Linked DNA regions of Struthio camelus. The protein of the gene in region 2 interacts with the protein of the main gene of each other region in a biochemical or structural test. Links are inferred from orthologs where the notes say so. Each region holds a gene or a part of one and is shown on either strand. Other genes may lie near its edges. The genes, in order: MCMBP and MCM5.

What was found.
Region 1: the proteins of MCM5 (region 2) and MCMBP form a complex in vitro, tested with the Homo sapiens proteins (2 studies listed by BioGRID). The link is inferred for Struthio camelus from reciprocal best matches to the Homo sapiens genes MCM5 and MCMBP.

The regions. Positions count from the first base shown.
Region 1 is NC_090948.1:6,958,126-6,969,376, reverse strand, and holds the start of MCMBP (mini-chromosome maintenance complex-binding protein), read right to left. Parts: upstream 5,308-11,251; coding exon 5,250-5,307; intron 4,223-5,249; coding exon 4,137-4,222; intron 2,227-4,136; coding exon 2,066-2,226; intron 1,724-2,065; coding exon 1,682-1,723; intron 1-1,681. Other genes in the region: SEC23IP (SEC23-interacting protein), read left to right, coding at 5,711-5,855, 11,153-11,251. UniProt on the Homo sapiens protein: Associated component of the MCM complex that acts as a regulator of DNA replication.
Region 2 is NC_090942.1:59,821,652-59,833,396, forward strand, and holds the start of MCM5 (DNA replication licensing factor MCM5), read right to left. Parts: upstream 4,902-11,745; 5' UTR 4,720-4,901; exon of another isoform or gene 4,646-4,719; intron 4,382-4,645; 5' UTR 4,367-4,381; coding exon 4,200-4,366; intron 3,218-4,199; coding exon 3,091-3,217; intron 2,978-3,090; coding exon 2,849-2,977; intron 2,402-2,848; coding exon 2,229-2,401; intron 464-2,228; coding exon 308-463; intron 1-307. Other genes in the region: HMOX1 (heme oxygenase 1), read right to left, coding at 8,506-8,642, 10,173-10,281, 10,894-11,385. UniProt on the Homo sapiens protein: Acts as a component of the MCM2-7 complex (MCM complex) which is the replicative helicase essential for 'once per cell cycle' DNA replication initiation and elongation in eukaryotic cells.

The DNA.
Region 1 (11,251 bases), on a different chromosome or scaffold from region 2:
AAATGTTCATGCACTGTCAAGATACTAGCAATGCTGCACTTCATATATAATAACTGAATTTAGAAAAGCTAATACACTTTTCTTTCTCTATTTAGTTTTTCTTAGTTTGATAGGTAACTATTGAAATAATGTTCAGTATTTTTATAATAGTCAGGCTTATATTAAATTCCCACTGCTGCAGTATATTGATGTAAGCATTACTCACTTAAAGACTGACTCTCACCAATCATTTTATTATAAAAATAGCATTAGCTTAATTTTAAAACCGCCAATGAACAGTAGAGTTTTCTTAAATTCTAAACTCAAAATATGAAATATCTAAACACACTGGATTTATCAGCATTTCCTTTCTTTTTACAAAATGCAATGTATCTTAAGTTTTCTAGACCTCCACTTAGAGGCCTTAGAGAAGAGGAGAATATTTAACTCCTAAAAGGCATTAGAAGAAGCATGCCATATCCATTCCACTTAGACAATTCAGCTTCCATTTATTAGGAGAAACTAAAGCTGATTTGTTTTTCCCCAAGATGTTTTCCAAACTCATTTAGAAAATGACAGGCTGCATCTGAGCAATTAAAAAGACAATACTTAACGTTCAAGAATGACTCAACACACTCAGCTACAGGTCTTTTTACAGGTACTTGCATTAGACTGCCATTAAATAATGTCCTAATTTAATCTGAAAAGGCCAATGAAACATTCATGGCTCTACAGAAGTTTCAAATTTTCTAAACATTTGCAAATAGAAATAAGCAGCGATTTCCAAAACCCTCTCAAGCATACATGAAAATCTAGTTTGAAACCCTACCAAATCAATAATCAATTCCACTAAATTTATTTTTATCCTGTTTGTGCATACCACTAATTTTTTTGCCTTCTATTTTTCCTGCATCTACCACATTTCCTCCTCATCCGTCCCCAGTTACTCAGAATCTAAGAAACTTTAAATAGTCTTATCTATTTAAGAATCCAATGACTTAGCTGGTGGTGATAACTATTTGTATAACAGAGCATTGGCTCAGACAAAAGATATTTCTTTCACCCATGCTGATTCGCCAGGCACTGGAACGCAGTAGAATGTCTGTCTCTCCCATGTTACTGTTTGTGAGGAGTTCAAATCAATCTCCTGCTGAGGCTGGAATACCAAAAATAAATGATGTTAACAATCGATTTTTTTTAGCTAATTCCATAGAACCATGTATCTAGCCAGAAGTTACAACAGCCATCGTCTCACAAGTATGCGATCTTGCACGATTCCAAGGAGTCTGAATCTATAATGTTTTCACACTAATAGCACTGCACTACCAAAAATAAAGTGTTTGCCATATCAGGAAGTTTCAAGAGACTTAAAAAAACAAGCAAACAAAAAAACACTTCCACTAGCCTGCTTCTTGGCAAAGAATTAGTGGCCAAAACTAACGACCACAGATAACAGCATATAAAAGCAAAACAAGCTTTAAATACTACGGAAGTAGCTTGAAGACTGCTGAACTTAGCATGCACAGGAGCAATTAAGAGTTCTCTGCTTTCCAAACCTGGGCTTAATTTGGAATTTTAAGAACGGCATCTCCAGAGATTCACTGATGAGTGCCAAATAAATTATACTGCACTTATAAAAATGCATCTTTCTGTCTGAATAATATTTCATCTCGAAATCTGATATAGAAAACATATAACTTACCCCACATTCTGCCACGTCTCTGTATTTACCAAAATGCAAAACCTGTCAAGAAGACAAAAGCAACGCAATTATTCCGTTTCCAGTACATCCTGAATATGGACTACTTGCACCAAATTTATTGCAGTCTAAAAACCTTCAAAGACATACTGCTCAAACTTTCATTACCTTAGTAATTTTGATTCCCTCAAATTACATTTGCAATAATAACCTTCCGAATTTTGTTTTCAATACTTCATAAACAGAAATATACGAAGCAATACGTTACTGATGCCATTTGAGTTATTTAAATAGAGTTAATACTAGACAGTGCCTGGACTCCACAGGTTTAACTCAGAAAACTAGAGAAGCATGAAGAACGGAATGAAGAAAATGCTAAACATTTACCAAAACAGTATTTCACTTACACGCATGTTTGTGTTTGGATCAACTGTTTCATAGACTCCCATGTAAAACTCAGGATCAAACATATCTTGAACCATGCAGCGAAATTTCACTAAGCTGTTGGGCTTTAGGTAATGTAGGGGAACATCATTTAGTGACGGAACCTGAAAAAGAGAGCTTATTCTAAACAACTGCTATATAAATATTGAGAAATGCCCTGAAGTAAGCCAGAAACTGCACATAAGCTGTCACCAATTTATTCTCTGGTCATTCAGTGTTTCCTGCTGTTGACTTTATTTGCCTCAAAGCCTATTTTATTGACAATAAGATTAATTGCCTTTGACAATTCAGCATCTCATCACATAACAGATTCAGTATTTTCTGGGTACTTTTCTCCCCACACCTAGCCCCCAAATCTACTGCCCCAGTCCAAGAGGTAACAATATACCTGACACCACTGGAAGTTTCTGCAGTAGCTGTTAGAGGCAATAGTTACGATTATCATACACTGACAGTTCCCAAATTTTTCCAGTTGCAAAGCCATTAGTCTCATTCATTTCTCAGTTCCAATATCAGACTAAACAAACGGGTTTCAGTTCATTGAAACTGTATGTAAACTCTTTAACAACATATGAGATTGTAATGTTAGTTTGGGGATTATTTCAACTGAATATTAAGATAAAATTTATTACTTATTTTATTCCCATTTAACAACACTTTGACCATGCATCATGCATCAGTGATACTGCAGCAATTGCATGCACAATTTCTTATAACAAAATATTTGTATTTCCAAAAGGACAGGAAGAAAAATTGTATCTTAATCTGAAAGTCCTTCACACTGGGGGAGTTTGTTTTGCATATATTTATATGATAATAGAAAAGCAGAAGGAAAACGGGTGTCCAGGTATATAGTACAAATCAAAATAATGAGACCTGCTATAAGGTTGTTTTTTTTTTTGGTTTTTAAAATAAACTCTTGGTTAAGATATCACACTCAACGTTAAAATGACATGAAACCAAAAGTGGCCCTGTAAAAATGACTTAAACAAACAAAAAAACTAAACCAACAACAACTCACATACTCCCTCGTGTTCATCTTGAGTAAGAAAATATGTTTTTATTTTAATTCCTTCTACTGCTGCAAATTTAACACAGTTCTGCTGGAGGAACAGAATTATTCCTCTACACTATGATTTAAACTGTCCTTGACACTCAAACACAGAATTCCTCTCTCACTGGCAGAAAAATTAAAACAAAAAAAAAAAACAATTTTATTTGTATTTGTTTTTTTAAATCATAAATAGAACAGATTCGACACTGAGAGCTCCTAGTCCAACTAGGACAGAGCTCCACGACACCGTTTCCCCACAGCCCTTCAGAACAGCATCACCTTTTGAGCTCAAGCGTGCCTGCTTAGCTTTAAAAATAAAGGAGAGCTTCCTTCCTGCACTTTCAAAACCTGGCCTGATCCAGAACAGTTTTTAGGCAGATGGTATTTCCCCCCCGCCCCCGCTCTGCCTCAAAGACGAAAAACCAAGCAGCTGTTTCATCAGCCCCCAGGGAGGTCACGGCGCTGCACGGGCAGCCGCTGAGCGGAGGGGTGTCTGCCCAGCAGTCGGGACCCCGGCGCCGTACAAACCTCCGCCGCAGCACGGCGGCCACAAACCCCCGTTAGTTATCACGCTTTGAGGAAACACCAGCACTCATTAGTCAGCTCCCGCCATCTGCTGGGCGGCGCCACAAACAGGCGGCGCTCGGCGGCGACGGCCGAGGCCAAAAAAAAAAAAAAAAAAAAAAAAAACCCACACACCACCCGAAAGTCACGGGGAGTGGCTTGAGGCAGGATTTTACATCTTCGTTTTTACCTACCTACCTACCTACCAACGGAGACGTAAACAGCGCGTTACAAAGGCTAGGCCTAACATTCAGAAGCGCGCTTCCGAGGAACCCGGGGCCGAGCGCCCCTTTCCCGACGAAGGGCTGCTCCGAAGCCGGGCGCCACGGCCACCAGGAGGCAAGAAGGGCGAAACTTAGCACCGGCGCAACGCTCCCAGAATAAAAACCACCTTACCCAGTGAGTAGCGTTGTTTTCTTTCAGCTTCTCTCTGAAATATTCGGTCACCTTCCTCTCCCAGTCGGAGCTCGGATCATTTTGCGCTACGACACAACGCACGTTGACAGCGGCATCAGCATCTACCCGGCGTTCCCCTCACGCCGCAAGCCGTTTCAAACTCACCCCTTCCCTTCCCGCAGGAACGCCTTTCCCTGCCTAACCCTGCAGCCGCGGCGGGGCCGGGCCCCGAGCCGCCCCCACACCGCCCCCTCGCGCCTCAGGCGCCCGAGGCGGGAAGCCGCCGGCTGCCGCTGGCCGCCGCCCCAGGCCGGCCCGCCCGGCCTCTCACGGGCGCCTCCTGAGAGGGAACCGGCCCCGGCCCTCCCCCGCCGCCGCCCAGGCCGGCCCGCCCGGCCTCTCGCGGGCGCCTCCTGAGAGGGAACCGGCCCCGGCCCTCCCCCGCCGCCGCCCCAGGCCGGCCCGCCCGGCCTCTCACGGGCGCCTCCTGAGAGGGAACCGGCCCCGGCCCTCCCCCGCCGCCGCCCCAGGCCGGCCCGCCCGGCCTCTCACGGGCGCCTCCTGAGAGGGAACCGGCCCCGGCCCTCCCCCGCCGCCGCCCAGGCCGGCCCGCCCGGCCTCTCGCGGGCGCCTCCTGAGAGGGAACCGGCCCCGGCCCTCCCCCGCCGCCGCCCCAGGCCGGCCCGCCCGGCCTCTCGCGGGCGCCTCCTGAGAGGGAACCGGCCCCGGCCCTCCCCTGCCGCCGCCCCAGGCCGGCCCGCCCGGCCTCTCACGGGCGCCTCCTGAGAGGGAACCGGCCCCGGCCCTCCCCTGCCGCCGCCCCAGGCCGGCCCGCCCGGCCTCTCACGGGCGCCTCCTGAGAGGGAACCGGCCCCGGCCCTCCCCCGCCGCCGCCCAGGCCGGCCCGCCCGGCCTCTCACGGGCGCCTCCTGAGAGGGAACCGGCCCCGGCCCTCCCCTGCCGCCGCCCCAGGCCGGCCCGCCCGGCCTCTCACGGGCGCCTCCTGAGAGGGAACCGGCCCCGGCCCTCCCCCGCCGCCGCCCAGGCCGGCCCGCCCGGCCTCTCACGGGCGCCTCCTGAGAGGGAGCCGGCCCCCGGCCCGCCGCCGCTCACCGAAGATGCCCTGCACGATGCTGAAGGGGTTGTTGAGCCAGTCGGCTACACACGGCATGGCGGGGCGAGCCTCGCCCAGGGACGGGGCGGGGGGGGGCCGCTGCCAACTCCCCCGCGTCAGTGACGGGGCCTCGCACCCTGCTGCCGCTGCTGCTGCTGCCGCCGACACTCTCCCGCCCGCAAGCCTTGCACAGGGGCGCCCGGCTTCCGCCTTCCTCCTCCTCCTCTTCCTCTGACGGCGGCCGCGGCAATGGCGGCGGCACCAGGGCAGGGAAGAGCAGGGCTGGGCCAGGCCCGCCCCGCCCGCTTTCTCCTCCTCCTCCTCCTCTCCGCGCCCGTGCGCGGAACGGGGCGGGGGGGGGGGGAGCGCGTCGCCGCTACCGCCATGTTGGAAGCGGGCAGCGGTGAGGGCGGAAGGGGCCGGGCCGCCGCGAGGGAAGAGACGTGGAAGCAGCGCAGCCATGGCGGCGGCCAAGCCCGGGGCCGGTGGTGGCGGCACCAACCTGCTCTTCTCCTCCTCCGCCACCGAGTTCAACTTCACGGTGCCCTTCATCCCGGTCAGCCAGGCCCCAGCCGGGCCGCCGGACTCCGCTGTCCTCTCGGCGGGTACGGGGGCGCTGGGGGCCGAGGGGTGGCGGGGCGGCCGCCGGCGCGGGGGAGCGGGCTGTGGGCCCGGCGGGGGCCGGGGGCCGGGCGGGGGGAGCCTTCCGGAGGCCCCGAGGTGCGGGGCGGCCGCTGCGCTCCGTGGCCGGGCTCGGGGCGGGGGAGGGGACAGAGAGGCGATTCCTCTTTTTTCTTTCTTTTTCTTTTTTTTTGTTCTTTGCTTGTGTTGCGCAACTGTGTTTGGATCCGCCGGTCCTGCTGTCCGCCGAGCAACAAACAGGAAGGTGGGCTTCCTTCCTCACGCTGGCTCGACCCTTCCCTAGCGAGGGCCGAGTTTTTTGTTTGGCTGTAGTCGCTTTGCTGTGAGGTTTTCTGAGCTGGTTTTCACTGGCAGCTGTTGGAGTTGGTGCTTTAGGGAAGACAGGCTCCTTCAGGTATGCTGTTTTCATGCATGGGCTTGATACTGAAGTGTTCGGTTTTAGTGCTGTGTCTGAAGAGAGGGGGAGAGGCTTTATCGTGTGTCCAGTTAACAGGTTAGCATTCTTGTTTGAGCAATTAATTTTGTTTTGATGCTTCTGTGCAGAGGACTATTTAATATAGCCTCACGGTAAAGAAGTTTGTCCTTCGTGTTCAGACAGTGCTTCCTGCATTGCATTTTTTTTAAAGTGGCATTTACTTCAGTTTTGTAGGATAAATAGTCTTCAGAGGACTCTCTGACGTTGTCTTTTTTTTCCCTGCCTGAAAATAGTATGCTAAGCAGGTACCTCAAATTTCCTTGTTTGCTTAGGCTAGGTGATTAATATCACTTCCTTGCAAAGCCTGGATGGTACGTCAAACCTATGTACGTACAACTTAAAACTGAAGCTCAGATGACTTCAGATACAGGAACAGATTTTTTGGAAGTGTGTTCTGTCTAAGATTAAAAGCCCTAAACAGTAAAAATGCATCTAGAAATCAAGTATTTTTAAGCTTCACAGGACTGGCACATATTGAGTCCAGAATTCAAGAGCTGATTTCAACAGTGCTGTATTTTACTTAGGATAAGTGTTAATATGCCTGGAAACAAATGAAGTAAATCCTTGTAATTTTAAAAACATGTTTGTTAAGTATGGCTTAGAAACACTTTTTCATTTTTATTCTTTAAATATCTACTGAACTGCCTTTTTGAGTAGTGTAAAGTACTAGAATATCGCTCCTACCTGTGTGAGGTATCTAGGCAGCTGATACATGCACCACTTCCACTTGTGCAATCCTTATAGTTCTTGTTGCCGCTATACAATGTTTTTCATTTAAAAAATAGTTATTAAGTAGCTTTGCAGAGATGGCTTTCCTGTGTCAGCTTCCTCTATGACTTTGAAGCTAGCTATGGAGAAGACCTGAGGATGAGATTTCAATAACAAAATTTATGATCGAACATGTAGTCTCTATCTCACTTAAGCTGGTCAGATGAAGATTCGTAGTTTTTCACAGAATGGATGAGGTTGGAAGGGACCTCAGGCAGGGTCACCTAGAACATATTGCACAGGGTTGTGTCCAGACGGCTTTTGAGTATCTCCAGGGAAGGAGACTCCACCACCTCCATGGGCAACCTGCTCCAGTGCTCTGTCAGCCTCACAGCAAAGGAGTTTTTCCTTCGTGTTCAGACGAAGGGTTTCAGTGTGTGCCCGTTGCCTCTCGTCCTGTCGCTGGGCACCGCGGAGAAGAGGCTGGCCCCATCCTCCTGGCACCCTCCCTTCAGATACTTGTACGCGTTGATCAGATTCCCCCCTGAGTCTTCTCTTCTGCAGGCTGAACGGGCCCGGCTCTCTCAGCCTTTCCTCGCAGGAGAGATGCTCCAGTCCCTTAATAATGTGTCTCCTGGTCTGACTGCAGTAGCTCCGTGTCTCTCTTGTGTTGGGGAGCCCAGAACTGGACAGAGTGCTCCAGATGCAGCCTCACTGTGGCTGGGTAGACTTAGACCGGAATGTGTTGTTTCTCATAGCTGGTAACGCCAAAAAGAAAGGGGCAGGGAGATACTAGAAGAAGAAGGGGAGGAAAGCTGAGGGCAGGTAGAGGAAATGAAGAAGCATGATTAAGGAGGGGAACTGAGACTGGGCAATGAGAAAGAGGATGGAGTATGTTGACTGGGTAACAGTAGAGCGAAAGGAGAACAGAATGTCTAGAAGGCACATTGCAGAGAGATGCTCCAGTCCCTTAAACGTCTTAGTAGCCCTCTGCTGGACTCGCTGCAGTAGTTCCATGTCTCTCTTGTGTTGGGGAGCCCAGATCTGGACAGAGTGCTCCAGATGTGGCCTCACCAGGGCTGAGAATCAACTGGAACCAATTTCAATGCCAAAGGTCTCCTGCTGAGGATGTGCCACACATTGTATCTATCCAAGTAGGGCCTCAATCCTGTTAAGTGTTCTGCTTTTGTGGTCCCTTGCCTTCCCTAATTCCCTAATGGGAATAGGGATTTACCTGTAGAGAGTAGTTTGCTCCTTGAACCCTAATTTGAACCAAGGAAAAGCAAGCCATTGAGCTTGAATCCTAAATGGTGTAAAATGTAATGGAAACTGGTCTCGGGAATTGCTTCTGACATCCACGTCTGGAAGATTTGTGCACTGATAAATCTGTTATATCTCTAAAAGTGAGTAAGGAGTGTTTTGTGCTTTGCAGTTTGATGAGAAAAGAGGTATTCTCAGGCTCTAATGCAAATGAAGTAACCAATATACTTTAAATAGAGAAGAGTACTCCTGATGAGAAGGTGGAAATCTGTCACTTGTGATTGTCAGAGGATGATCTGTGAATGAGAAGGTGATGTCTGTGAGGGATACAGAAGGTTGTCATACATTTGTTTTGGGAGAACTTTAGTCAACTCCCTGTTTTTCAGGGGAACATGCTGTTACACTTAATCTCCCCGAACTAGTCGAAACTGAAGAATAGTAGGTGTTTTGTGCACAGGCATTTGGTAAAGGCCTTGACTCGTTTTTTTAGATTATGATTAACACGTAGCAGTGCACTGAAATTGCCATGAGATGTATTACCTCTTCTACTCCTGGGCATTCTGGAAAGTGGAGACCTGACTGTGTGGTATGCGATACGCTGCTCTTTATTCCATGATGTCTATCAAATATGAAAGGAGAATATTTAGAAACAAAGACCATAGTATAAGTGGCTATTCTTCTGTTTGGAAGGTAATTCACATGCCTGAGTTTATAATGGTCATTACTTATAAATGAAATTTAGTGTTCTCCACAAGATCGTTTGCATGCATAGGTTTGATGTTTTGTTCCTCAAAATAGAATATAACACACCAAGCATCATCTGCATTGGCCAGTTGACACCATCTGAAAGGGCAACTGAATAAAAGCAGATGGTTAAAATGGTCTTAGTGATGGCAGCTATTTGTTTTCCATTTAATGAACTAGAACAGCAGCTTCCTAGTTTGAGTTCTCTGTGCATTCCCCTATTCTCCCTTGATACTCTAGCTGTTTCGGCTGCAGATAAAGACATTTGTTATTGACTGCTTGTGGCTGCAGGGATGTTTAGTTTGTTTCTTTGGCTAATGACTGAGTAGCAGAGAAGCAATGATCGTTCTTCGAAGCAATTTCTTCCCCACAGTCTGGGGATTATTTAACTGCTAGAGTAGATGAGAGCACTTTTATGACTTCTGTAAATTGTGTTGGCTGCTCAGAAGAGGCTGTTCCCTCAGCAGGTGGGTGGCGATGCTCAGATCGTCCCAGGTTCAATTGAGCTTACTGTGAGACCTATAATAATGTCAAACCGCTTGGTTGTCGCTTGTTACTGGATCATTGCAAAGCAGAAAACTCTACTTGACCGGGACCTGGTTTTATATACTTCCCCTTTTGATGCAAAAGGGCAGGCATATGGCATTGCACCTTTTAGGCCCTCTCCTGGAATTATTGCAGTTACTTGTTTTCCTCTGGACCAGAAATGTAGCTCTTGTGCCACTCTAGAATAAGATATATAGACAGAACTGAAATAAACTGTGCTTTTCTAATGACATGGGTTGTTGTGTTTTTGCCACCTTGCAAGTCAAATGGGGAATCTTGAGAGGGCCCTTCTGAAGGGGGAGATGAGAACGCACTGCTTAACCAGTAGATGTGGCCTATTGGGGAATCTTCTTAAGCTCCTCTGAATTTGATCTTGGAAGCTTAAAAAATTGGAAGGTGAAGTGCTTAGAGGCTGTTTTCATGGTGAAAGGAAGTCGACTAAGGATCTTTTTGCACCTGGTAGGCATAAGGGGGAATTGAAAGGGATTCCAGTGTCCTGGAAGCAGGGTTCTTTGCTACGTTGGCTTGGGAAGGTCCTAACTTCAGCTGTGTACTGCTGAGCCTTCAGTTGTGCTGAGGCAGCAGTTTATGACACTGCACTGTGAAATGAGGTCAATGAGTTAAAATGCTGTTTGTTTTGAGGCTTATCTCTTAACAACAGTCTTTTCAGTGATCTCCTCTGTGTTGTGCTCCCATAAATAGTTCTAGAAGCATATCTTTCAGGAGAGTGAACCCATGCCTTGTAAGTGGGAACCTTTTTCCCTCCAAAAGAAACATAAGAGCTGTGGTTGCTGAGGATGTTACCACCTAGAGCTGTCTGTTTTACTTTTGCTGCACAAGTAAGCACTTGATTTCAGCATTTTAAGGCAAACTGCAACCAATTTCAGTTTACCAAACGTATACTGTAAATTGCGGTGTTGCAGAGCTGAGCAGGACTGAGCACTAGAGACAAGCATTGGAGCTGACTCAAGGAAAGGAATGGGACCCTGGCTAAGCGCAAGGAGGAAGGGAAGGGCAAAATCCTATTTTTAGGACAGAAATACTGTTGATTTGGCTGTGCCAATTTGCAGAGCCTCGCTCCACAAGATGGTCTTCTCCTCATGGTATACAACTTAGCATCTCTTCAGAAAAAAGTAATTGTTAGCTCTCACAGTTTCATAAGAGAGCAAATAGGTGGAAAGGGAGTTCAAATGTACACAGTGGGTGGTGTAAGAAGCTCATTATATTTTTTGCCTTGCAGTGGAATGCTTCTTATTTCCAGTTCTTAACTTTTGTTGCGTTGTCCATGTACGCTGAGTTTTATGCTCCGTTTTAAATGTTCCTGAAGACTTGGTATCTTTTGTTGCACTTTATGGCACATTCAATTTTTAAGGATGTGATTTGTAAGCTTTAATACTTTTGGCTTTATCAGGACTAATAGTTTCGGAAATAGTTCATAATGTTACAGAACATCTTTGACTGTGTGTACTCAGTAGTTCAAACCTCTCAGGACTTCTCTGGTAATTTACCTTCCTCTCTTACCCCTAGATGATTCTGCAGATGTTGGCGAAGAGGACAGCTTCTTGGGTCAGACTTCTGCCAGCCCTAATGCACCACAGACTTTCAGCTATTTCTCTCAAGTACCTA
Region 2 (11,745 bases):
ATGTGGCATGGCTCATGGCCACAAAAAATTTGGCTCTGAAAATCATAGGAGGAAGAGGCTGGCCAGCCATCCCCAGGACGTGGCAGCTATTAAAACATTGCGGCGCTGCTGTGAGGTAACCTCACAGGTACAGAGGTGTGTACAAATCTGTTTTTGAGCAGTCTTGTGCAATGCTCCTAAGGATTGATGCAGAAAAGGCCACAATATCCATTTCAACTCAGATAACTTCTTGCCAGGGAAGAGTTGAATCCAGTACCAGCTGTCTGAAATGCCCTGTGGGGTGGTGGGACAGGGGACTTGCTGTTACCTGTCACAGTACAGCTGCATGTGCCGGGGCATCTCCCCATGAGGCACAGCGTCTGGAGACTCTTGGAGCTTCAGGACCTGGAAGTCCACACACTTGCATTTATCTGGCATAATGAAATACGGGTCCAGCGGGCACTTGGGGCGGCCAGCCTGTTCTCTGTACAGAGATCAATCAGGGAAATTAGCTGAATGCCAGGACTCAGAAGACACCACCTCAAAGCCCCTTTTGCATAGGCAGGAGTGGTCTCACACCCCAGAACAGCCCACCCTCCCCAATAGTACCAAGCAAGCCAGAAGAGCAGTCATACAGGCCAGACGAAAGGTTCACCTGACCCTGTATCTTGTATTCAACAGTTGCCAAAGGCAGGTGTTAAGGTCAAGCTATTAGAACAAGCCAAACACAGTGATATTTCCCCTGAATACCCTTTCAGCCTCCTCCCTCTTCCCTGCTAGATAAAACCAAAGAGGAAGGTAATTCAGTAATTGCACAGAAGGTAACAGTATAGACTCAATGACCTGACAGAGCATTTTTCTTTATAACTTGGTGCACGAAGCAAATGTTAAGTGGTTTCTGTTGAGAAAGCAATTAGCAATGTGACAAGACTGTCATCAACCTCTTAGTCTCTCGAGACACTGGCTCTACATATCTGCCTTGCTATACTACAAGCTCTTTGAGACAAGAAGCACCTCCACATCCTGCTGGCTTCTCAGTACATTATTACTGGTGCCTGAACGCATGCAGGCAGCGATAGGCTTTCAGGGAGGATAATATGACAAGGAAAAATCTCATGAACGTCAGCCCCATTCAAGATAGGAGGAGAGGCGGCTGCACTACAAATGCGCAGACGCACTTCTGCAGTCAAGCTTCGGGAACTAGGTGCTCTACAGACTAAATACAAGAATGATTCTCATCCCAAAGATCCCTCAAGCTGTGTTTAAGATGAGACACAGGAAAATACTAGCAGACACGAGATCACACAATCCATCAGAATCAGCCAGCACGAGAGCACTGCAGCACCATGGCAGCCTAATGCTCGTGGTTCACACAGGCATCACGAGCTATAGAGAGGGGTTTGCAAAGTACTATTAGTTAGTAGCAAAGTGCTATTACAGAAGTTTATGAAAAAAGCAATCTGAGCAGAGGCAACTGGGAGGCAAGAAGTTTGCTTGAAAAAAATAACAACTTAATAGGAAGTTAGGATAGCAACTTAAAACAGTATTACAGGACAACTGGAGGCAGGAGTGAACCTTTAGGTACCTGACAACAGGGGAAAGCAAGGTAAGGCAGCAGCCAGCTTAGAAAGTGAAGACAAACAATCCTCATAACAAGAAACTCTAACACAGACAGACTCAGTGGAGAAAGAAGGCAAGAGCCAATGCACAGAGAAACCTAGAAGGTGGACCTCCAGACAGCCATAGAAAGTGCTTCAGTGAGCCCATGGTAAGAAGCCAGCGCAAAAGTCTGACAGGCAAGAGGATTTTTTGTTTGACTTTGTTTTGTTTATTAATAAAAGACAAAATGCAAGAGTGAAAAGAGTGAGGGACAGATGAGAGTTTGAGGAGGTAAGAAGAAAATCTTCTGTGTCTGCAGCAATAGGGAAGAGCAGACGCTGAAAGCAATGGAAATGCAGGTCTAGAGGAAGAAGCTTTTTCAACCAGCTTTTTCAACCCCGCTTGCAACAGTGGTCACAGAACATCCATGATCAAGGTTACTCCTAGATGAACAGAGCTAAAAGCTACTGGCCAAGGATGGGTGCAGGCACTAGGGCAACTGGAAGGTAGAGGCTCAGAGCGGTGCAGACACTTCCACCTTGTGGGACAGGTTGCTGACTCCATGCAGCATGCATGGGATGAAGGGGAAGAAGACGACAGAGTCTTTTGTCCCACTACCCTGGCAGATTCATCTCCATTCCAGTCCTTACGTGTTGCATTTCCTGGGCAGGGCATAACCTTCCAAGCCTGGGCGCACAGCAATGTTGCTGATGGTGTTACGGCAGCTGCGGCACTGGATAGCTATTTTGGTGGCTTTGGCTCTCACAGGTGTTGCTGCAATTATAATCCCAGGGATCTTCACAAGGTGGGACATCTGGTCAGACTGAAAGGGAAAAGGTGAAGGGAAGGTGAGAAAGCACATTGCTGGAAGACTGACAAGAAATTTAACCATGATACAAGATGTTAAAGAAACATGGGGGTACCAGAATAAAAGAAGTTTACACTTCTTGACAACTCCATACTCTTGCTCTATAGTAGCAGGGGAAGGTCGCATGGCTTTAACTACTCTGCCTTCAAAGCAAGAGAGGTAAGAGGATAAAACACTACACCTAGAACACCCCTAACAGCAGTAACGTCCCCAAAGCAGGAACCAATCAAAATAACCCTGTGCAGTCAGATGTAAGACGCATTATATTCCTGTGCGTAAATTAGTGAACAACTCGTGTCCTGAAGTAAATAATCAAGTACTTAAAGTTCCCTCAGCAATCCCTCCCTCTCACGAGCAAGCCCTGCCACCTGTTTCTCCACAGAGCAGCTAGATTCACCTCACCTTCAAACTGCGGATGTTGGCTGCATTGGCATCTGATCTCAGCATGACCTGGATGTCTTGCAGAGTTTCTTCACCTGAAGGACGAGGACGGGTGACCTCATCTGCAACTTCTTTTGCTGCTTCTTCCAACTACAAAGGGAATAACTAGGCTATTACTGACATACTACAGTGTAATATCAGGACTGCTCTCGTTACATGACTGAATGTCAGCGCACCAGATCTCCCATTCCCTCCATCCTTACCAGCTGAAGGTGCTCCGCTGGTTGCTTGTACAGATAGTCAGCAAGATCTTCATCAAAGCTGGCTAAGTCTTCCATCTCCACCTCAATCCAATACTGACCCAGGTTATAGTGCCGTTTAAGCTCATCCCTGCAAGGCAGTAGGTAGTAAATGCTTGCAGAGCAGAAAGCACTAATCTTAACAAACGTGTCCAGCCACCATTCCACAATGACCCTGTCACTAAACAGGGAGAAGAGAAGGCAGGTTCTGCATGGAGTCCTTAGTTTGGAAAATTGGGAAATTCCCAATTTCCTTAAATTGGGAAAATAGGGAGAGCTCTAAGAGAAGCCAAGGGGGTCCTGGGCAAATCTTTCATCCAAATACTCTCTGAAATGTGACACAAGACCAGGAACACTAGTGCTTGCAGTGACAGTGTAAATTTAGTGCTAATACTTTAATTCTAGAATCACAATATCAGATGTGCAATTCAGGAACTCCTATACAGAATGTCTATTGTACCTAAACTGCGATTCTAAAAAACAGGATGTAATAGCATAGCAGGCAATATTCCCCTTATAAAAACTAGGGTGCAAGAAATTCAGACATGAAAGGTGAAAGATTTCCCTGACCCTTGCATGATATGTCTCCATCTTCTCTCTCCGTAGTCTCTCCAAGTTGCATAGGCAAAATGATAGCCAAGGGACCTTCAGAGCCTCAGAGGGCATAAGCGAACAGTGCTTTACCAATTTTAATACTCCCGATCAGACCAAAACTCTGGACCAGGAAGCACTAAAACTTGAAAACAGACCTTGAAATTCTGATCTAAGTGCAAGTTCGACGATGCAGATCCCGCTATTCCTACCTCTGCCACTGTAGACCAGACTACCGCCTAAGAATTTGGGAGAATGCCAAACCTCAGTTTTCCCATAAGCTCAAATGGGAACAATGTCATTTCTTATCTTAACAAAGAGCTCTTCGGGGTCTACAGGAAGGAAACAAGCTAAAATACGCTACTGTATCCTTTTGACTTACATAGCAGAAGGCAGGTTAAGAGCGGATTGGACGTGCAAGGAGGAGTGAGTGAGTAAGGCTACAGAGAGAGAAGAGCGGTTGCTACAAGTCACAGCAGCACCTGTATTTGAAGGTGAAGCCTGTCCGGTCCGTGCCCACCCGGTACTGCCGTAGAAACTCCTTGAACCGTTTCTGCAGCTGGGACTTCCGAATCTGCCCTTCATCGGCCGACACGTCACCCCCAAAACTGTCGCTGTAGTAAATACCGGGGTCGTCGAAGCCGGACATGGCAACCACGATTCACTGAAGGGGTGGGAAGACACGGTCAGCCCCCTGCCCGCCTCTTCCTCCCCCCAAATGTCTCAGGGGGTCCCCACCCTCCGGTGCCTTCCCTGCTACACCGCGGTCCCGCAGCCCCTGCCCCATCCATGACTCCATTACTCCTCCCAACCTGCCCACCCCCCCCAAAAAACTCTCCCCACCCCCACCCCGCGCTGCTCTCCCTGCCCCACCGACTGCGCCAATAACCCCCCAAACTGCCCCCTCGCCCCCGCCCGCGGGACGGACCCCAGACCCGGAGCGGCTGGTGCTGGGACAACCGCAACTCGTCCGTCCCCCCCCCCCGCCGCCCGGCTCCGCACCTCGCCGCTCCCCGGGAACCGGCCCGCCACTTTTCGCGGCAAAAGCAGCGCGCGGCGCTAACAAACCGGACACACGCCCCCTCCCAAGCGCGCCGCTGCTGCACGCTCCTAATTGGCCCGCCCGCAGCGCGCCGCCCCGGATTGGCCCTGGCCGTCCTTTCCCTCGCCGCCCCGCCCCCTTCGGCCCAGGCCGCCGCCGCAGCCGAGCGCTCCGCCCCCTTTCGGCCGGGCGCATTTGGCGCGAAAACTGGGAGAGAAAGGGAGGGGAAAAGGGGAGGAAAATGGCGGATCGGGCGGGACTATTGCAGGCGGCGCGGGGGAAGGGGGGGGGAAGGCGGGCGAAACCATAGCTGCCGGGGAGGGGGGGAGAGAGCGCCTAGAGGCGAGGCTGGCGGGGCGGGTCCCTGCGTGCCGTGAGTCGAGTGACGACGTTAATGGACACGAATAAAATAAAGCGGCGATTATCGCAAGGCTGGAGGCGGAGGCAGGGAAAACCTTGGGTTGTCTAGCCTTCCTGCCTGCCTAGATGCTCGTTGCTGACAGGCGTTGGCAGGAGGTGTTCAGCTGAGGGCCTGGCAGCTCTTCACCCTGCTTGGCGCTCCAGGTGTTGGCCCCGGGCCAACCCCCCCCCCCCAAACATGGAGGGGGGTGCAGTTTAATGGGGCTACAGCTGCCTCTGAAGCCCATCGGGTCAGTGGCAGCCTTTAGTGTCCTTGGGCAGCGCTGGGGTCACCTCTGACGCCCGCAGAGTGGGGATAACAGAGATCTGTGGGGATTAGTTAGCGTTCATACAATGTTTAATCAATGCTAATTTGCCCAGAGAGGCTGTGGAGTCTCCGTCCTTGGAGATACTCAAAACCAGCTGGACACGGTCCTGGGTAACCTGCTGTAGGTGACCCTGCTTCAGCAGGGGGCTGGACCAGACGGTTCCTGCCAGCCCCAACTGTTTTGCAGTTCTGAAGTGACAGGTACCATAGGCCAGATGAGGAGCACTCTACTGAGCCGCGAGAGGTGCCTCCGAGCGCGTTCAGAGCCCTTTCTGCAAAGATTGTATGGGCCAGATTTGTTTTTGTGCTCCTGCCTTTTGGGGCAGCTCTTCTGGGATGCAACCTGCCCTCGAGCTCTGACATCGGGACAGGGGGATGAGGGCTAGTCCTTAGTTCAGGTGACAGGTCCATAAAAGGGAGAGAGGGGAGGGGAGGGGAAGGGAGGGGTCATGTGCTTTGGACATGAGTCATGTCCAAGTCACTCCATTTGGCAAGGAGTCATCCTTGCTTTGGGACATACTGGAAAAGGGAATGGCAGGTGGTTGGACTGCCCAGAGTCCCATAGGGAAGACAGTACTTACACAGCAAGCCAAATACGCATATAAACAGACTGTTTTTTTAGGATACGTTTCCTCTGGGATGTTTTTCTGCTAACTACTACTGAATTTTTGGGGAAAGCTGACTTGTCATTGGGAAACCATTATAGCTCCTAGAAAGTGGGGTACTGCACATATCAAATGAAAACCAGAGCTGGGAAGCATAGTGTGTTGCAAGGGAGATTTTAACAGCACCGGGTGGAAATCTTGTCAGCTGTAGCTATGCTGTAGGGAAGCCAGATATTTTCATAGAGCTTATAGATTAGTACAAAGCAAAGTTTTAGCGTTCACCTCTGAAGACTTGCTTTAGCTCAGTCTGGCATCCTTCTGTGTGTGGTACGGCAGTGGCTGTGAGATAACTCAGAGCATGATACTCTTCTGCTATGAACAGGAAGGGGGATGGTGTCAGTTTGAATCCAAGTTTCTTAACTTTGAGGTCACAGCTATGGTCTCTGAGGGCAGCAGAGCGGGGGGCTGATTGTGCTAGAGTGCATTTTCTGAGCTCTTGGGCATTTGTTTGCATGTTTGGGAGGTTTATTTATTCAGCATGGTTGAATGAACATAATGATTTAGTTGGGGTGGCTTAGAGAGACTGAGTAGGTGGAACTTAAAATAAATTTGAACGAATGAAATGAGTTATAGGATTTGAATAGCTGTCAAGCCTAATATCCCTGCTTTTCACACATTTGACTCTCTTTTTAACAATTAACTTGTTTTCTCTTTTTCTGGGGATCGGTGAATGGGTCCAAATAGAGAAGCATTAAAAGAGATTTTACAAGAAAAATAGGATAGACAAGAGCCTGATGATAATGACAGTCTCTCTTTCTCACTGTTTATTCTCTGTAGGACCTGCCTTCTGATTCTTGCTCTTTGAGTAGGTTAAGTGCTGATCATTAATACAGATCAGTAGCAATAAATGCCTTTGGGATTAAGGCTACAGCCAGAACAGGCAGCATCATGAAGACAGGTTGATCACAGAGGCTCCTCAGGTAGAAAGGGGGGAAGGGACTCTGAGCTGAAAGGTAATGGCCTTGTCAGTATCTGCTCTGTTACACTCAAGATGCAGCCGCTCCTGCAGTTAACTTCTGTATTAGAAGACCTTCATAAGCAGATAAGGCCTATGGCCATAACAGCAGCTGGCCGCACCTCCAGTTTTGAGTGAGCAAAAGGGGAAAACAGAAAGCTGTACACATGGACTGCTCCAGCACTGCTACTTATTTGTACTGTCTTTAGGAACTCCTTGTACATGCCAAATTCTGGCAGTAAGCTGGCTTGGTTTGATTGTTACCTAGTTGAGGACATGCAGTTACATGCTTGATGTCTCTGGTTTTGATGTCTTGTAGGATGAAAAGCTAGTATGTATTTTGTTTGTGAGGGGTGAGAACATACTTCTTTTTCTGGTTCATGGTGATGTTCTCAGAAAGGCACTATGATTAACAGCACCTGGCCCTTAGCTGCTACAGGGCAGGGGCAACAGCCCTAGTTTAGACCAGCCAGGAGCCCAGTCACCTTTTTCCTTTTAATAGAATAGCAGCTAACTCTTAGGTCTAGCTTCTACCTCTTAAAGATACTTTGTACAGTCACAGAATTTCATTCAATTTCTGGAAATAGAGACCATTATGAAGCTTAAGAAACCTGACTGAGCTTGTACAACAAGTTATTGTTAGAACAGAGTGGGAACAGAGTCTGGTTCTGGTAACTCCCACTTTTGTCTATTGTCATATCTGTGGAGGCAGCAGCTCCAACAGACATAAAATTGAGAGGCAGAAAGGCACCTCCATTCTCCCTGGATATGGCTTTAACAATAGGAAACACCAGGCCTGAAGATTTTACGTTAATGTTTATTTTATATATATATATAAATTATATAACAAGACAAAAGATCAACACTGTATCTTCAACAACTGTGTTCTGCTTTTTAAAAACCAAAAGTGATTGGAAAAAGATTTAACCTACTAGTGTCATATAAAACAGTCTATAACCCAGAGGAACCATGTGGCTCCACAGAAATAGTGATCACAGTATCAGCTAGCCATATAAAATATTGAGCAAACAGGGCTCCGGGGAGCTTTTTCTTTCTGAGGCAAAACATGATGTCAAACCTGCGTTTCTGATTTTGTAGGATTTTTGCAGGAGTTCTATAAAACAATGACAATTCCTGGCCACTGCTTTTAGGCCTTTTCTGCCCTTATGTTCTGGTGATAAATTTAGTCTCTGGCATAGCTCACACCAAGCACAGGAGAGACTTTGCCTGAACCCCCTTAGCACTCTCTTTGCTTTCTGGGGAGAGAAGCCTCCTAATGTTAGTGACAGAGCCAAGATCACAGCACCCAGCCAAGGAGAATTTCTCTCAGAAGGCCTGGGGAAGATGGATTAGTTCAGGGTGAGGGAAGGCATGAAGAGAAGGTGACGGTTCTATTTGTTCACATGGCAAATAAGCCCACGGCGACTGTTGTGGCTAGGAAGCTGAGTGCAAGGATCCACCGCACAAGGGGAGTGGTGGGTAGCATTTCTGTGTGTCTCATATTTGTCTTCTCTCTTTCTTTCCCAGGCCCTGGACCTAGATTAAATAGAAAAAAAGTGGGTGAGATCAGGATGAGGCAAGAGGCTGCCAGTATGCCATGCTAGCCCTCCACAGTGATGGAGCTGACCCTGGCGCAGTTGTTACGGGGAAAAGGAGAGATCCCAGAGCCCAGTGAGGCTGGGGAAAGAGCGACAGCAGATTCTGCTCTGTCAGAGCAGGCGAAGAAGGGAAGCAGCAGACTTGACCTGGGAATCCCAAGGGCTCACAACACCTCTGCTTGTACTTGAATACTGGCATCTTCCCTTGTCTCCTTACTGGCCTATAAATACCCTGCCCAGATCCTGAAGAGACTCCTTCAAACCTCTGATGTGTCCAGAAGACAGTTAAATGGTTAAACCAGAATTTTAAAGGCATTTTGTCCCCTAACTCCCCATGATTTAATCAGTTAGACATTTTACGACTTTAACGGGTAGTCCTTAACACTGCAGACAAATAATTGTCTTAGAGCAATTTTAGAATGGGACTTCTCACCCAACACTGAGCTTTTTAGAAAATCCTACCTGTATGGGTTTATTGAGAAAAGAGCAGCAAACATTTGCAGAGAAGTTCTGCTACTCTGCCTGAAGAAGTTGCTCTAAGCTTCACTCTCTAGAGGTGCACAAAACAAGGAGAATTTGCATTCTTTGCCTTGGGAAACTGGTTCAGCTCAGTATGCAGTGAACAATCTCCCTTTTAGTTTCAGAACGTGTGGCTCATAAGATGTGATTTGAATAAGAAAGCTCTTATCAGGGAAGCCACTTTCCTCCGTAGCCATCTGAGCCCTATCCAAACTCAGTCACAAGTCTGACTTCATAAAAAGAGATCGCTTTGCCAGCAGCAGCTGGATTGGCTTTGCAGAAAGGGCCCTTGCACAGGATCTTCCCTTTTGCCAGTAGATGGAGCCTTTTCAGTTCTGCAGAGTTGAACTGGAGCCTGTACAGCTCCACTTCTGAGCTGTACATTTCACCACACATTCGCATTTCATGCTGATTTTAAACATAGCACATTTTCATTGCTTCCAGGAACTATTTTCAGTAAATACTTCTGGAAGGCATGAAAACGACCGCAGGAAGATTTAGTCCAAAAGGACAGGCTCTTGGATAAGGTTGCATGTCTCCAAGAACCTTCTACCAGCATCACAGTGTCACAGCTAATGTGCTAGGCCAGGAACTGCAGCTTTTCCTTTGTGAACTCAAGGCCAGGTTCCCCTTTGATTGAAACTTATGTGGCTAACGAACCTTACACTTGTTAAAACTTGAGAGAGAGAGGGTAGTCTCTTCCTGTAAAACTTTCTCAGGGACACTATTCATGGAGAGCCCAAATGTCTCATCCCTGCTTTGCCATGTCTGGAAGCAGCTTCACACACACCAGGGCCCCTTCTTGCACTATATACTGACTGCCGGTGAAGAGATGAGGCAAGTACCTCATGCTCATGTCTCAGTGGCTTGTACAAGCAAGAACACAGGAAGGGGGGAAAAGAAAAGCACATGGGGCAACTTTAAACAACTGCTTTTAGAAATCTCTTACCATGTTCATGTGATTTGTTAGCGTTCCTTGCGCGAAGCTCTGCCTTCAGCTGCACAGGATGACCGTTCTCCTGGCCCTTAGACACCAGCTCCTGCAGTGCCTCAAACACCTGAAAAGAATGCACACTGTCTCATTACGTGGACTTCTTCTTTCGCTGGACCCCTTTGCGCTAGGCACTTCAGAACTAGAGGAAGCCACAAATCTTCAGTCCAGTTGTGCCCCTCCTGGTACTGCTGCCTGTTCTGCACAGAACATAATCTGCCTGAGGGGTCAAGAGAGTATCTTTCAAACTCCTTGTTCACTTTGCAGGTTCTGTCTGAGGCTTCCAGCTCAAGAGAAGGCCCATCTTCTGATAGGAAGGAAAGCAAGGTATGTGTGTATCTAGTCAGCATTCACAGAGGAGCTGTAGAGCTTTATTGGGAGGTGGGGCAGGTAGACAGTGATCCCTACTCCCAGCATAAAGCCTTGTTTATATCTGAACAATAGCACAAGAAAGAGCCTGAATTCAAACCCTAGGGGAGGGAGAAGGATCTTTCAGAGACTGATTGTTCATTAGGCTCCCAGGTAAGACACGTGGAGATTTCTAACTCTGACTAGCTTGCCCTAACCCATAGCTTGCTTTGAGCTCCATAGCAGAAATACCAGCTTTGCCTTTCCCCAGTAGCTGTTATCTTGTTTGAGAGAGGGTGTGGGCAGACAGGGCTAGCCAGTAGTTACTCACTTGTATATTAAGCAGGAATGCTTTCTTGGCTTCCTCCAAGACTCTTTTCTTAGTGGCAAGATCCATCTCAAGGGCATTCATGCGGGAGCGATAGAGCTGTTTGAACTTGGTGGCGTTAGAGACTCCATCGAAGGTGAAGAAAGCCAGCCCTTCTCCAGTGCTGGGCAGCTGCAGGGCCTTTTGGGCAATTTTCTTCAGCACCTGCCCCCCAGACAGGTCTCCCAAGTATCGAGTGTAGGCATGGGCCACCAGGAGCTCTGGATGGTTCTTGCCTACGTAATGGAGTCTCTCTACGTATTTCTGAGTAGCCTCAGGACATGGGATCTCTTCCCTCCAATTGCTGCCATAGAAGTACTCCAAGTCTTTCTCCAAGGCAGCTTTCCGGTGCAGCTCCACCGGAAAATAAACAGGGGCATAAACTGGGTTGTCCTTATTACGTTCGATCTCTTCCTCCAGAGCAGAGTAGATGAAATACAGGGAGGCAGTAACCAGCTGAAACAGAAGGGAGGGTATGAGATACAGGTGCATCTGTCTGTCTTCCAGCTTTTGGGACAAATCCCACTAACAAAAAACGTTACTCATATGCACACCCAGTATGAATCATGCAAATATGTTATATTGTTGTAGATTTCACATATGGAAAGCAGAGTTGGAAGGGACAGTGAGACATCCTCTAGCCCTTCCCCTTCTGCTTGAGGCAGCATCAGCTGAGACCTAAGTTATTCTCAACAGATGTTGGTCTTACCTGTCCATAAAAGCTGCTGTCTTCACCTTCAAGTTAAGGTTCTGGCAGCTTGATATTATAGAAAATGGAGCCCTATTAAATCATACCTAGTCTATTCCCTTCATTCC